Arabidopsis thaliana: one gene and its partner. The protein of the gene in region 2 interacts with the protein of the main gene of each other region in a pairwise test. Each region holds a gene or a part of one and is shown on either strand. Other genes may lie near its edges.

What was found. Proteins that work in one complex are often made in the same cells at the same time.
Region 1: the proteins of AT3G60200 (region 2) and SK 11 interact in a two-hybrid assay, tested with the Arabidopsis thaliana proteins (one large-scale study listed by BioGRID).

What each region holds. Positions count from the first base shown.
Region 1 is NC_003076.8:9,397,624-9,405,509, reverse strand, and holds SK 11 (shaggy-related kinase 11), read left to right. Parts: upstream 1-3,033; 5' UTR 3,034-3,242; intron 3,243-3,636; 5' UTR 3,637-3,670; coding exon 3,671-3,772; intron 3,773-3,849; coding exon 3,850-3,942; intron 3,943-4,049; coding exon 4,050-4,109; intron 4,110-4,204; coding exon 4,205-4,477; intron 4,478-4,552; coding exon 4,553-4,627; intron 4,628-4,723; coding exon 4,724-4,780; intron 4,781-4,867; coding exon 4,868-5,008; intron 5,009-5,095; coding exon 5,096-5,146; intron 5,147-5,245; coding exon 5,246-5,341; intron 5,342-5,442; coding exon 5,443-5,526; intron 5,527-5,640; coding exon 5,641-5,743; intron 5,744-5,845; coding exon 5,846-5,928; 3' UTR 5,929-6,133; downstream 6,134-7,886. Other genes in the region: AT5G26760 (RNA polymerase II subunit B1 CTD phosphatase RPAP2-like protein), read left to right, coding at 1-382, 487-686, 767-1,030, 1,306-1,452, 1,537-1,641; AT5G26749 (C2H2 and C2HC zinc fingers superfamily protein), read left to right, coding at 6,271-6,403, 6,488-6,609, 6,757-6,820, 6,952-7,023, 7,116-7,225.
Region 2 is NC_003074.8:22,245,514-22,251,775, reverse strand, and holds AT3G60200 (uncharacterized protein), read right to left. Parts: upstream 2,885-6,262; 5' UTR 2,457-2,884; coding exon 1,539-2,456; 3' UTR 1,208-1,538; downstream 1-1,207. Other genes in the region: AT3G60210 (GroES-like family protein), read left to right, coding at 1-47, 138-167, 262-333; DL1E (DYNAMIN-like 1E), read left to right, coding at 4,125-4,271, 4,361-4,424, 4,512-4,619, 4,744-4,845, 4,931-4,981, 5,073-5,134, 5,273-5,363, 5,456-5,520 and 3 more.

The DNA of each region.
Region 1 (7,886 bases), on a different chromosome or scaffold from region 2:
AAATCAAGAAAGAAAATTATTTCTGTTGAATACCATGCTAATTCTTATGAAGATGGTGAAGAAATCCTTGCAGCTGAATCGTATGAAAGACATAAAGCTCAGGATGTGTGTTCATCAAGTGAAATCGTCACTAAATCATGCCTTAAAATTTCTGGCTCGAAGAAGCTTAGTCGTTCAGTTACTTGGGCCGATCAGAATGATGGCCGTGGTGATCTTTGTGAGGTTAGAAACAATGATAACGCAGCAGGTCCTAGCCTGTCTTCTAATGATATAGAGGATGTCAATAGTTTATCACGCCTTGCATTAGCAGAAGCCCTTGCTACGGCATTGAGCCAGGCTGCCGAAGCTGTTTCTTCGGGAAATTCAGATGCAAGTGATGCCAGTAAGTGCATAGGAGGTGTTAATTTAGCTATGATACTTTGGATGTCCATATGTTGTGGACTTGCATAAATTCCTAAATTTTGCCCTTTGACATGCTTTATATAGCTGCAAAAGCTGGAATCATTTTGTTGCCCAGCACACATCAACTTGACGAAGAGGTTACTGAGGAACATAGTGAGGAGGAAATGACTGAAGAGGAACCAACTCTTCTCAAGTGGCCAAATAAGCCCGGGATTCCAGATTCTGATTTGTTTGACCGTGATCAATCGTGGTTTGATGGACCTCCAGAGGGCTTCAATCTCACAGTAAGTCTCTTATGCATTTAAATATACTCACCCATTAGGAATGCGTTGAAATAAACTCACTGGTCCTCTTCCTTCCTCAGTTATCAAATTTCGCTGTGATGTGGGATTCACTGTTTGGCTGGGTATCATCGTCCTCTCTGGCATACATATATGGGAAGGAAGAATCTGCTCATGAGGAGTTCTTATTGGTTAACGGGAAGGAGTACCCCCGGAGGATTATCATGGTAGATGGGCTTTCCTCAGAGATCAAGCAGACAATTGCTGGGTGCCTTGCCAGAGCTTTACCGAGAGTCGTCACTCATCTCAGGCTGCCAATAGCGATATCCGAGTTAGAAAAGGGACTGGTACGTTTCCAATATTTTTTCTTCTCATTAGTCTGTTATCGTCGGTCTACTTATAAACCAAATAGCCCATCCTAGTCAAATTAGTGATTGGTCCCGTCTATCTTTGTAAAATGTAGCAAGTACTCCTAGAACGAAACCTTAGTATATAAGTATGGAATCATATTTGAAATTATAAACTCTTTAAAAGTTCCTCATGAGAATCTTGTCTCAAACTTACGCTGGGAAGCTTATATATAGTTTCTCAGTGATATTGGTTGTGTTTTGTTGTTGAGCAGGGAAGCTTGTTGGAGACAATGTCGTTGACAGGAGCAGTTCCATCATTTAGGGTAAAAGAATGGCTAGTGATTGTTCTTCTTTTCTTGGATGCGTTGTCTGTATCACGTATCCCTCGGATTGCACCTTATATATCCAACAGAGACAAGGTTTGTTCCAGTCAACTTGAACATAATAAATGGCGAACTCTAACTGAATTTAATCTGTTGATAAATGTTGGTGAAAAATATCAGATTTTGGAAGGAAGTGGAATTGGAAATGAAGAGTATGAGACAATGAAGGATATCCTGTTACCACTTGGCCGTGTTCCTCAGTTTGCTACCCGAAGCGGGGCGTAGACAAAACCCGGGTTTAAGGTTTATTGGTAGAAGAAAGAAATCAACTTAAGATATATGAAAATAGAGGAGTCTATAATTTTGAAGCCATTGTTTTGAATGTATGAAAGATCTTGAAGTCATGCTTGGCTTGCTTTTTACTTGGAACAAAGATTTGTCGCATTTCGATATATGATAAATGGGTCAGAGACGTTGAGTTGTTCCTTTTATGAAATTTCTTATAAGTTAGTAAGTTAATGAGTTTGAATTGAAATGTCAAATTTTCTTTGACTAAGACATGTTTTCGTCTAAGATTTTGATTCTAGACTGTGTGTTTCTATGCATGCGAGAAGAAATTTATGATTGACTAAGTAATATCTTAATCCGTACCTTTTGTCGAAAAAAAATAGTAATAATTCCTAGCCAGAATCTCTTGTTTGTTATATAATACTTGTTTCAACATTTAATTCACATCTACTAGTGTTTATAAATGAAATGTACATGGAATAAAATAAAGAATTGTCACCATAATGTTTTTTCCTAACTATAAATTAAATGTAGTAGGGATAAAATCCAATAATTGGGGATGAATTATTGAGATAGGTTACTACTTTAGATAGGGAGGGTCTCTCACCTCACCTTATAATAAAAAAAGTGGTCGTTGATTATTTTCTTTTTTGTTTCCTCTCCGACACGTTTGACCCAACGGCCCATTTTCAGCTTCTGGTCTCCTTCGTATATTCTTTAGGTATACAAATTTTAAAAGTCAAAATTACCCTCACTTATTCTTCTTCTAAATAAATTCCTATACTAATTAGATGTTTTTAACTACAAGAAAAATTCAAAGAAACATATGGTGGTTTTAATGTACCAATCACATTAAAATAATGGGTTTGATTGGTAACAATTTTAAAAAACTGTACAAAATTTTCTAAAACATACAGTTTTAATATTTACCGATCACAAAAACTTTATTAAAAACGTTACAAACAGTTTTATTCTCAATTTATTTTACTAATTTTTCGTACAGCTAAAGTTTACAGCTCCAACTAACAGCTAAAACACTTTTAGTTACCAATAATCCTAATAAATAAGTTCTTTATGCATTATTTTCTATGACCCTTATCTCTTTTGGTTTGTTGTGTTGGGAAGAAAATATAAAAGTTTGAATGGTCAAATCTCAAAAAGAGGACAAAAACTAAAACCAATGTAACTTTACTAACTTCGACGAGTCCCATTATTTTTTCTTTTTCACTTTCAAAGAAATTATCCATTTGCCTATCAATGATTTAATTTTTTTTCCCCACCCTACCAAAAAAAAAAAATGATTTAATTTTTTTTCTTTTACAATATAGTAATAATAAAATTGTCTTCACGAGAAGCCAGCTATATAGAGAGAGATGATTATAGACGAATCACAAAATAATATAAAGTAAAAATATTTCATAATTCGTCTCTCACCGGAAAAATAAATAAAGTTAGAGAGAGAGATTCATAATCATCAAACCCACAAATCCTTTTTTTTTTTTTTGTTAAAACCCACAAATCCTTACTCGTACGGATCTCTCTCTCTTTAATATCCTAATTCTTCTCTTCATCGATCTGAGATTTTTACGTTTTCATCGGTACGTCTTAAAGATCTCTCTCTTTCTTCATCCCTTCTTCTGGGTTTTAGCTTCAGATCTGCTTCACCATGAATTTTAATTTAACCCATCATTTTAAAATCGACAGATTCTCTCTTCTCTACCAAACTCTAATTTGGTTTTAATGTTTGGGTCTTTTAAATTTTGCAACTTTTTTTGGGCTTATCATTATTTTTTTTGTTCCCGTTAAAAAAAAACTTTCCTTTTCGTAATTTTAGTGTTCTAAATTGTTTTTTACTTATTTGAAGTGTTCAATTGTTAAGCTTGAAAGAATTGTGTTTTGTTCCTTTATTGAAATTGAATTTGTGTGTTTTGTTATTAGTAAAGCAACAAACTTTACTCATTGGATTTTAATCTCTGTTGTTATTTGTTGCAGGCTTGAAAGTTTGAAGAGTTTTGTAGCCTGAAAAATGGCGTCAGTGGGTATAGCTCCTAATCCTGGAGCAAGAGACTCTACTGGTGTTGATAAATTGCCTGAAGAAATGAATGACATGAAAATTCGTGACGATAAAGTATGTTTCCATGCGTTGTAGTATAGTTTTTGGTATGTATTTCATGAGAATCTAAATAATGGATTGTGGTTTGTTAGGAAATGGAAGCGACAGTGGTAGATGGAAATGGAACAGAGACTGGACATATCATTGTGACTACTATTGGTGGTAGAAATGGCCAACCAAAACAGGTTTTTGATTCTTCTTCTTTGCAAAAAACTGTTCTTTTAATCTTCTTAAGTTAGTTGATTGGTTAGTGTTTCGTGTTTTTATTAATTTTTCTACAATGTCAATGCAGACAATTAGCTACATGGCTGAGCGTGTTGTTGGTCACGGATCTTTTGGTGTTGTGTTCCAAGTGAGTTTTTGTTAGCTTATCATCTCTCACGTTTTACATCATGTATCTATCAATTGACTGAATTGGATTCCTCTGTATTTTCTTATGTGATTTAGGCGAAATGTCTTGAGACAGGAGAAACTGTTGCGATAAAGAAAGTTTTACAAGATAGGAGGTACAAGAACCGTGAGCTTCAAACCATGAGGCTACTTGACCATCCTAATGTTGTGTCTCTGAAACATTGTTTCTTCTCAACCACTGAAAAAGATGAGCTTTACCTCAATCTTGTTCTTGAGTACGTTCCAGAAACTGTTCATCGTGTTATCAAACACTACAACAAACTGAATCAGAGAATGCCTCTTATATACGTCAAACTTTACACTTATCAGGTATCAATTATTACATTTCTGTTAGATTTAGAGTTATGTTTTGGATCTCTTATCGGATTTCTCTATGTTTGGCAGATTTTTAGAGCCTTATCTTACATTCACCGATGCATTGGTGTGTGTCATCGTGACATAAAACCTCAAAACTTGTTGGTATGTACAAGTTAAATAAACAGGAGCTCACAGTATACCCGGGAATATACTTTTCTTCATTGTCTAATGCTACTTTTTTCACCTGTAATGGAACAGGTAAATCCGCACACTCATCAAGTAAAGCTATGTGATTTTGGAAGTGCAAAAGTATTGGTGAGTTTGATAAACCTCTTCCGGGTACTTTGTTTCTTGGAAAAAGTTAGATTCAATCTTGTTGATCATTGTAATATCTGAAAACAGGTAAAAGGAGAACCAAACATTTCCTACATCTGCTCGAGGTATTACAGAGCACCTGAACTTATTTTTGGAGCAACCGAGTATACGACAGCCATTGATGTCTGGTCTGCAGGATGTGTTCTAGCTGAACTATTGCTTGGACAGGTAATGCATTAAATCTTATTCAAACATTTTTGTTCTACTTAACCTGGAATTTTGTGATTGACAAACTCTATTCTCTGCTCATGACAGCCCTTGTTCCCTGGTGAGAGCGGTGTTGATCAACTTGTAGAGATTATCAAGGTATAAGCTTTGCACTTGTTCACTTTGATAACAAGTTCTTGTTTTCAATAATACTGAGAGAAGATTTGATGTAATGTTTTTTGTTATGCTTTGGGGTAGGTCTTGGGAACGCCTACTAGAGAAGAAATCAAGTGCATGAACCCAAACTACACGGAATTCAAATTCCCTCAGATTAAAGCTCATCCATGGCACAAGGTAGAAATAAACTTATATTCATCAAATCAACTTGTCAATGTGTTATTCAGTAGCAGTTACAGTCAATGTGACAATATCTACTCGTCATAATATATTCACAGATTTTCCACAAACGCATGCCTCCAGAAGCTGTTGATTTGGTCTCAAGACTTCTTCAATACTCTCCTAATCTACGAAGTGCCGCTGTGAGTATTACTTACAAATTCAACATTCTTCTGTGAATCTTCTCGATGGTCCTTTCATTTCCTATTTTTCTTTTGTCTGACTTGCTTTTACTTGAATCGTAAACCTGATCACAGCTCGACACATTAGTCCACCCATTCTTTGATGAGTTAAGAGACCCAAACGCACGTCTACCTAATGGACGTTTCCTTCCACCGCTTTTCAACTTCAAGCCTCACGGTACAACATCTCCCTTTCCTAATGGTGTTTATCTCCAACTTACCTGTAAAATCATCAAAGTTTTACCTTACTAAAGCTATACCTGTAATTGTTGTGAAACAGAGCTGAAAGGTGTACCATTGGAGATGGTAGCTAAGTTAGTACCTGAGCATGCAAGGAAGCAGTGTCCTTGGCTCGGTTTGTGATTTCCTCTTAATGTAGCATGAACACAACAAACACTTCTTATAAATTACCTCTCTATGTATCAATATGTCACAAACTGATATGCACCCTTTGTTTGTTGTATGAGTAGAGAAAAAAAGAGTTATTACTATGGTTGGTTGGTTCATAATGTAAAAGCCCACCAAGATTTTTTATCTAGATAAAGAGTTTGCTACTTCTGCTTTTGTATCTTCTTCTTCCTCTGCAACATCATCAAACAAAGACCCTAAAAGTCACTGTAGCAAATACAAGTATCCTCACGCGCCTAAAACTAATAAAAGCCAAAACTTTTTGATTCTACGAGTCGTCGTCGTCATCGCCGGAAGATGCCGTCGGGGAAATATTACTGTGATTATTGCGAGAAAGAGTTTCAAGACACTCAAGTCGCTAGAAAACGCCATCTTCAAAGCAAACCTCATCTTCGAGCTAAAGCCCTTTGGTACAGTTCTTCTTCCTCAGGTATCTCTCTTCTCTCTTTTTTCTCTCTGTTTCTTAAAGGAACGATTTTTAACATCTCTGTTTCTTTTAATACGAAATTCTTAGATCTTGTTAATCCACAAGTCTCCAATTTTGCGACGAAAGGTCTCTGCAATCGATTCATTACCTCGGTACGTCGGATTGATTTTGTTTCGCTATGTTCATCATTCCTAGCAATCTCTGGATGTGTAAAGTCTTGTCCTTTTCGTTTATATTCTGGTGGAATCACACATTTTACATTGCTTTGTTTGATTCTGCAAAAAAATTCATTGCATATGTGTGTATGTATGTAATCTTCCAAGTAAAGTCTGTTCCTTTCTTAATGGGTTTTGCAGAATTTTTGCCCATTTGGAGATTCTTGCAGATACTTCCATCCTAACAACAATACAGGAAGCACAGGTTAGGTCAAAACCTGTTGATTTTTGACTTCAGTGATTTGGTCTCTTTTAGGCTACTTAAAGCTTTAAAGAAGTCTCTACTATGCGCAAGATTTGCTTAAAACATCATCCTCTTGTTGAATTCAAATGCAGGATTCACAAATAATACACAACTTCGTGTTGACATGCTTAACCAACAACACATCCAAGGAAGTACTTTAAACCGTATGCGTTCTTGTTTTTTCGTCATTCAAGTTCTCTAATATTTAAGCATTTATAGAAAATCTGATGTTGGAAGTTTGAATTGTCTAAAACAGGTGATTTTGTTAGTGGGAGACCAGGAACAGGTTGGTTTGATCTTCCGCCATCGCTAAAACCGCCTCCTGAGCAAGGCTATCCTCAGCTTCCCTTCATAGACTGGGGATAGATATAAATTCTCTGAATAATGCTCAGTTTCAACATTGATGATTCTACTTGAAAGGAAAAGACTAATCTTTGTCTCGTTGTGCTCTGCCATTACCAAGCTTTTAGCCACAAGCTTGTCTCTTTTCAGACTCGAGGTTGGAAGAATGTCAACCAAATTGTCGTCTTGTTACTCAATTTGTCGTCAACTTTAGAGACATTGTTCGGAGTTTGGACATGGCAAATTTGCAATTTAACATACTGTGCGATATTCTGATAAAATTCTTTAAATTTCGTTGGCTCGTCCCTATTCATTGCGTGATGATAGGATATCGCTAATTCGCTATCCGCTTCCTGGCCATGTGCTAAACAAGACTTCCCAAGCCAAACTATCAAAATATTTGACAAAGTTGGAGCAATTCCTAAGGCTGTAGATTAATTACAAAGTTGGAACAATTTTTTCCCTAGAAAATACATTATTGAGAAACAGAGTATAAGTTGGCTAAAAGAAAAATCAGATTGTTCAGAATCAAATATTTAAATTATTAACTTCATTTTCATTTCTTCAACTCCATAAAATAGAACTAATTTTAAACTCTTTATTGTTGAGAGAAATATCTTCGAATCTCCTAAGAGTAATTTAGTCGAGCATGTTGGTTTGAGTTTATAAAAGATAGGTTATGATT
Region 2 (6,262 bases):
TTGTCTCTGTTGGGTCTGAGGTTGGGGAAGTGGAACCTGGCAAGAAGGTATGTTTCATCTTTTAACTAAAAACACGATGAAGTAACTGTATAATCTCCTTCTTCATTCATTTGTTCATGCTCTTGTATCTTTTGCAGGTTTTGTTCTCTGATATGAGCGCCTATGAGGTTTGTATTTGATGATTATGATGGAACATTGAGACCATACTTGATGACTTTGATCATACTTGTGAAACTGAGACATCTCTTTTGATTTCTTCAGGTTGATTTTGGAACAGAAGATGCTAAGCATTGCTTTTGCAAAGAAAGCGACTTGTTAGCTATCGTCCAGTGAAAAGTAGCATCGAAGTTGTGCATTCAATGATATCATCTACCAAAGAGTTTCTGGTTTTCTTGTAATTTCAGTGACAGCAGCATATGTTCTGTTGTTTGAGTTTCATGAAAGAGCTCAAAGTGGAGATTGATCGGAAACCGAAATTGTTAAAGTCAACAATGTTCTCTCAAACAGAAATCGTTTTATTTGCAAATTTCTCATAAGCCTTATGTTCATAGCTTAGCTGGTGAACAAGACCGATCCCATTCAATTTTTTCAAGGATTTGATCTTTACTTGATTTCTTAAAAACGAATTATTTTACCAGAGCGTAAAGGAGATTCACGGACCCATGGAGATGAACCCCGTGGACCCTCTTCATTTAAACTCTTTCGAGTTATTAGACAACTTTTATAAAGTTGAATTGAAAGCACTCTATGTCGTACTTGGATTTTTATTAAAAGTCGATAAAAGATATTTTGATACTTGTGTCATAAGCGATTCCAATATAGCTTTGTAGGTCTATGTGTTGAAGTGGACTAGAGAAGAAGGACTGTGAAACCCAAGATAAACTTTTCCAAGGTGATGACAAAAAATAAGTCAAAACTGTCGCACTCTTATTATTTATAGCCAGAAATTCATGGGTCAAATTTCAAAATCTAAGCACCCGCATTACTACTACTACTACTCAAAACCGTAATGCTTAGTGTAATGACATTTGAGTCTTTGACTATATGACATAATACATTTGAATTAATACTTCAGCACATATAGATTGACTAACCTGATTCGGTATTATTGGCACGGTTCATATAGGATCTTACCGCTATACGAACCCATACTGATTTTGTCCAATTTTTTTGGAATTTAGATCCGGTTTGATCAGGTTCCACGGTTCTACCAATCAATCGATCCGGTTTTATCTTGATTTCTTGTCCTAATAATCGGTAAGTAATTCTCATAAGTAAAAAAACAAGAACACACTACATTATTTCTCTTAATCTCCTAAGAACAATATATTTGGCCATTCAAACTCTACAATTACAATCAGAAAACATTACAATTTTTTATAACAAAAGTATTGTTTGAGCTATTTCCCATAGAGATTATTCACCACAAGCCATATAAAAAGCTTGATTTTGGCAAAATCCATCTTCAGAAAGCCGTAGTTTACTATCCAATAGTCAAACACGTTGACCAAAGACTAATCCCACCAAAATAAAAAAACTCAACGGCGGCGATCAACTCTACCTAAATCCACAAGCTTCTTCGATCTATTTGCACAAAACGACGCCGCTGCTGATATATGAGGCTTTTCCGGCACCGCCGTTACCTCCCCAGAATTACCAAACTCCGATGGAAATCTCATTTTCCGTTTAAACGGACAGTTAGGACTAGCTCTCACCAACGGACTCAAACAAAAAGCCATCCCCGACATGCTCTTCCCTATCCCCATCGCAATCTTCCTCCTTCCCGGAGTTTTCGTCGCCGGAGTTCTCCTCAATTCCTCGATTGATTCCGCCGACTGCTCCGGTTCCGTATCTCTTACAGGTGACATTCCTCTACAGTATATACGTTGAGGTCTACGCGCAGCGATAACGTCTTCGATGTAACACGCGGTGGTTGGTTGCTTTTTACGTCGACCGGTGGAGAGAATCGTCGAGATCCATGAACGTGAAGAGGAAGAAGAAGATGAAATCTCAGACGCGTCGCATGAGGAGAATCTAGGATTGTTGGATTTGGGATTGGTATCGAAATCTTCAGATCTAGCTCTGAATAGATTCGAGAATCTAGATACTTTTTTACCTTGTTTTGATTTATTTGATCGATTCGATTCGAAATCTTTGCATGAATATCCGACGAGATCTATCTGTGGCGTGGTAATGAATCTCCGATTAGAAGAAACTAAAGGATCTCCTCCACCGGCTCCGGCGTCGGATTTTCTACGGGTAACGTAAGGAGAAACAGAGCGAGGGAAAATCAAAAGCGGAGGATGATTATTGTTATTAGATTTCTTTGATTGATTATCTTCTACGGCGGCTGATACGGCGGCGGAAGCGGCGAGAGAGAGGAGACGTTCACGGAGGCAAGAAGCGCAAACGCCGTTGCTGCTGCTGAGATCGACGGTGTGTCTTTTACACCTCATCGGAGGAGAATTGAAGATAAAAGAAAAAGCTTTGATTTTTTTCGAAAGGAAGCTTTTTTTTTTTTGGGTTGGGCCGAGAGTTTCGGTGGTTATAGTGATGTGACAACCTGTAAAGATGAAGGAAGAAGAAAAGATCTGGTGGTAAAGATTTTGTCTTCTTCTCCTAAGATCTCTGTTTTGAGATAGGCTTAGAGAGAGAGAGATAGCATTCTATGTCGGAAAACCAAAAAAAAAGATAGATGAGAGAGAGAAACTAATTTATTTATCTAATGGAGATTTGTAAGCACAACATTTTGACAGATCATTTTATCACTAACCATTTCTTTAATGCAAAATTTAATTATGCGATGGTTAGTGATTCAATTGCAATTTTTGGTTCGTAATTTTGCCAACTTACAAAAAATTGATCTAACGCGCCATTATAGTTTCATAGTTGTAGAAGATAAAATCTAGTTATGGTTGACCTTTCTTTAATTCAATATACGGACCAATACCATTGGATTTGAATGGGATGTGTAGTGATTACCTCAGCCACTGACTTGAAACAATGATATAACTGTATAAATAAATAAAAAACCTAAAAGAGAAGCATGTGACGTTGGATGGTAAAAGCCGACAAGTATTAGGTGAAGACGAGCCATCGTCGTTTTCCACATATCTCACACGAATGTTCGTCCGTTTCTTCTACATATTGCCACGTGGTTTTCATATTTCATCAATAGGCCTTAACTTCATTATTGGGCTTTTAAAGCCTTCCTAAAGTCTCCTTGTCTATTGGGCCTGTCATGTGATAATCAATGATGTAATAAATAACGACAACCTATACTTAGTTTTTGCTTCTTCTTAGTTTGAATATGTTATGTTAGTTTGGTTATTTCAGTCATTTAGTTTGGTTTGGTTGATAACTAAATCATGATGTTGAGAGAAACTCATTGTTTTTGTGTTTATGTCTATGTTTATTGTGAAGAATGATTCATTATTTACCAAGTACTAAGAAATTCAAAATTTTCTAGAAATATTATTTTATGTTTGTGATTTCTAAAATAAAATCTAAAATAATTCAGACTGGATAACACAAAACCCATAAAAACTAGAGAACCGCTTGTATACATATAGCCTCCTACCCTCTTCCTGGACCTAACTTTATTATTGGGTCCTTTTAAAAGTCTTCTATATCTATTGGGCCTTCTAAACAATGTTGATTGTTGTTTCTAGACTTATTATTTTGTATTTGTGTGAGGGGTCCATGTGGAATTTCAAAATTCGAAAATTCAAACAGGTTACAAATATCTCAAATTAAAGGGACACAAATCTTATCTTCATTATTTTAGATTTGACCGTCTAGAAAAGTAAGAACCAGACCGTACCGAACCAAAACGAACCAGAGCCAGACGACTCCTTAACGGCGGCTAAGCTATCTGTAAACCGACCGAACCACACAGCCACAGGCACACAAATCAAACCTTCTAGAAATCAAAGAGAGACATTTATTCTCTAAATTCATTTTCCTATTTTGCCCCTACGAATATTTTTCTTCTTCGTCTCTCTCTCTCAGCTCTTGAAGTCTTTGGTCTGTTGGCGAATTTTCAAGCAGCTTTCTAATTCTGAACTGAAAATTTCGTCTTTGGAACTTTATATTCTCTCATCTGAAACTGAAGGAGAAGGAAGATGACGACTATGGAGAGTTTGATTGGGTTAGTTAATAGGATACAGAGAGCATGTACCGTACTCGGTGACTATGGTGGTGGAACTGGAAGTAACGCTTTCAATTCTCTCTGGGAAGCTCTTCCAACCGTCGCCGTCGTCGGTGGTCAGGTGATTTCTCCGGTTGAAATATCTTTGACTTCTTCCTAGGTTTTCTCTCTGGTGACTCTTCAACTTACTTTTTTTTTGGGTTTGTGCAGAGTTCTGGGAAATCTTCGGTTCTTGAGAGTATAGTTGGGAGAGATTTTCTTCCTAGAGGATCTGGTTTGTGAAAATTTTCCCTTTTCTCTTATGTTTGTATATAAAGCAAGGAGGAGCTTTGGTTTTGAGGAAGAAGTATTGTTTGTGCAGGTATCGTTACGAGACGGCCTTTAGTGTTGCAGCTTCATAAGACTGATGATGGAACAGAGGAGTATGCAGAGTTCCTTCATCTTCCCAAGAAGCAATTCACAGATTTTGGTATGTACCTTAACATTTATGTCTATCTATGTTATGTATATCAATGTATGTTTGTTCTGCTTCAAGTGTGTTTTAGTTGAAAGTGTTCATTGAATTTTTGCTTGAAAATTCTTCGATGTTTCAGCTTTGGTTCGCAGGGAGATTCAGGATGAGACTGATAGAATCACAGGGAAAAACAAACAGATATCTCCAGTTCCTATTCACCTCAGTATCTACTCTCCAAATGGTATCTTTAATAATCTCAGTCTGATTCCTGTAACATTCTTGTTTGTTGATTTAACATTGATGTTTGCTCTTTTTTATGGAAACAGTTGTGAATTTGACACTCATTGATTTGCCCGGTTTAACTAAAGTGGCTGTTGGTATGTTTCTTTTGACCTCTTCTTTGGGTTTCCATTTCTTTATTATTTGATGACCGTATATGTAGTTATTGATACTGCCTCTGATTTCCAGAGGGACAGCCGGAAACCATTGCTGAGGATATCGAATCCATGGTTCGCACATATGTTGATAAGGTGAGAATTGCTAGATCTTTCATTTTTTTTTAAAAATGCAAAAACCTTATACGACTTTTAAACTATATGCTCAAGTTCTAGTTGCAGATGGTTAACTTTTTTAGTAGTACCAATAGCTTAATTTCTGTTTGTTTGCAGCCCAATTGTATCATATTGGCTATATCTCCTGCCAACCAAGACATTGCCACATCAGATGCAATTAAGCTCGCAAAAGATGTCGATCCAACAGGTTCGTTTACTATTTTGTTACCTATGATTGATATATATATATGGCAGGAAGTACTGTCTTTAGATGATGAAATAAGTTTTTGATCGTCTCAGGTGAGAGGACATTTGGTGTTCTTACCAAGTTAGACTTGATGGACAAAGGAACTAATGCGTTAGAAGTAAGCACCTCTTCGTCTCTTTTGGTTCATGTGTCATGGTCCACTTTAATGATTATACATGACTGGTATTATGATTGGCAAACCAATCTAGGGATGATAAAAGTAACTAAATCTACAGCGTGCTTTCCAGTTCTTACTTTTTTTAGTTAGAAATTTTGATCTAACATTCAGAACTGCTTGCCTTAATAAGGTTCTTGAAGGAAGATCTTACAGGCTGCAACATCCTTGGGTTGGGATAGTGAACCGTTCACAAGCAGATATTAATAAGAATGTCGATATGATGCTTGCAAGACGCAAGGAACGAGAATATTTTGATACCAGTCCTGACTATGGTCACTTAGCCAGCAAAATGGGTTCAGAATATCTGGCAAAGCTGCTCTCTAAGGTATTCAATCAAAGGCTGAAATACTTGAGACTTTATCGGATTGTTTATTCATTGTTATTCATTTGATTTATGGTCTTTGTTTTTTTATGCAGCACTTGGAGTCTGTTATCAGGACCCGTATTCCAAGTATACTATCCTTAATAAACAAAAGCATTGAAGAACTTGAAAGAGAGTTAGACCGAATGGGTCGGCCTGTCGCAGTTGATGCTGGGGTGAGAGAGTACAATTATGTGAAACTATTTCTCTTCCATAAAGTTTTACGTTTTTTGATATGTGCTAAATCTGTTGGTCTCATTCTCAGGCTCAACTATACACTATATTGGAGATGTGCCGTGCATTCGATAAGATATTCAAGGA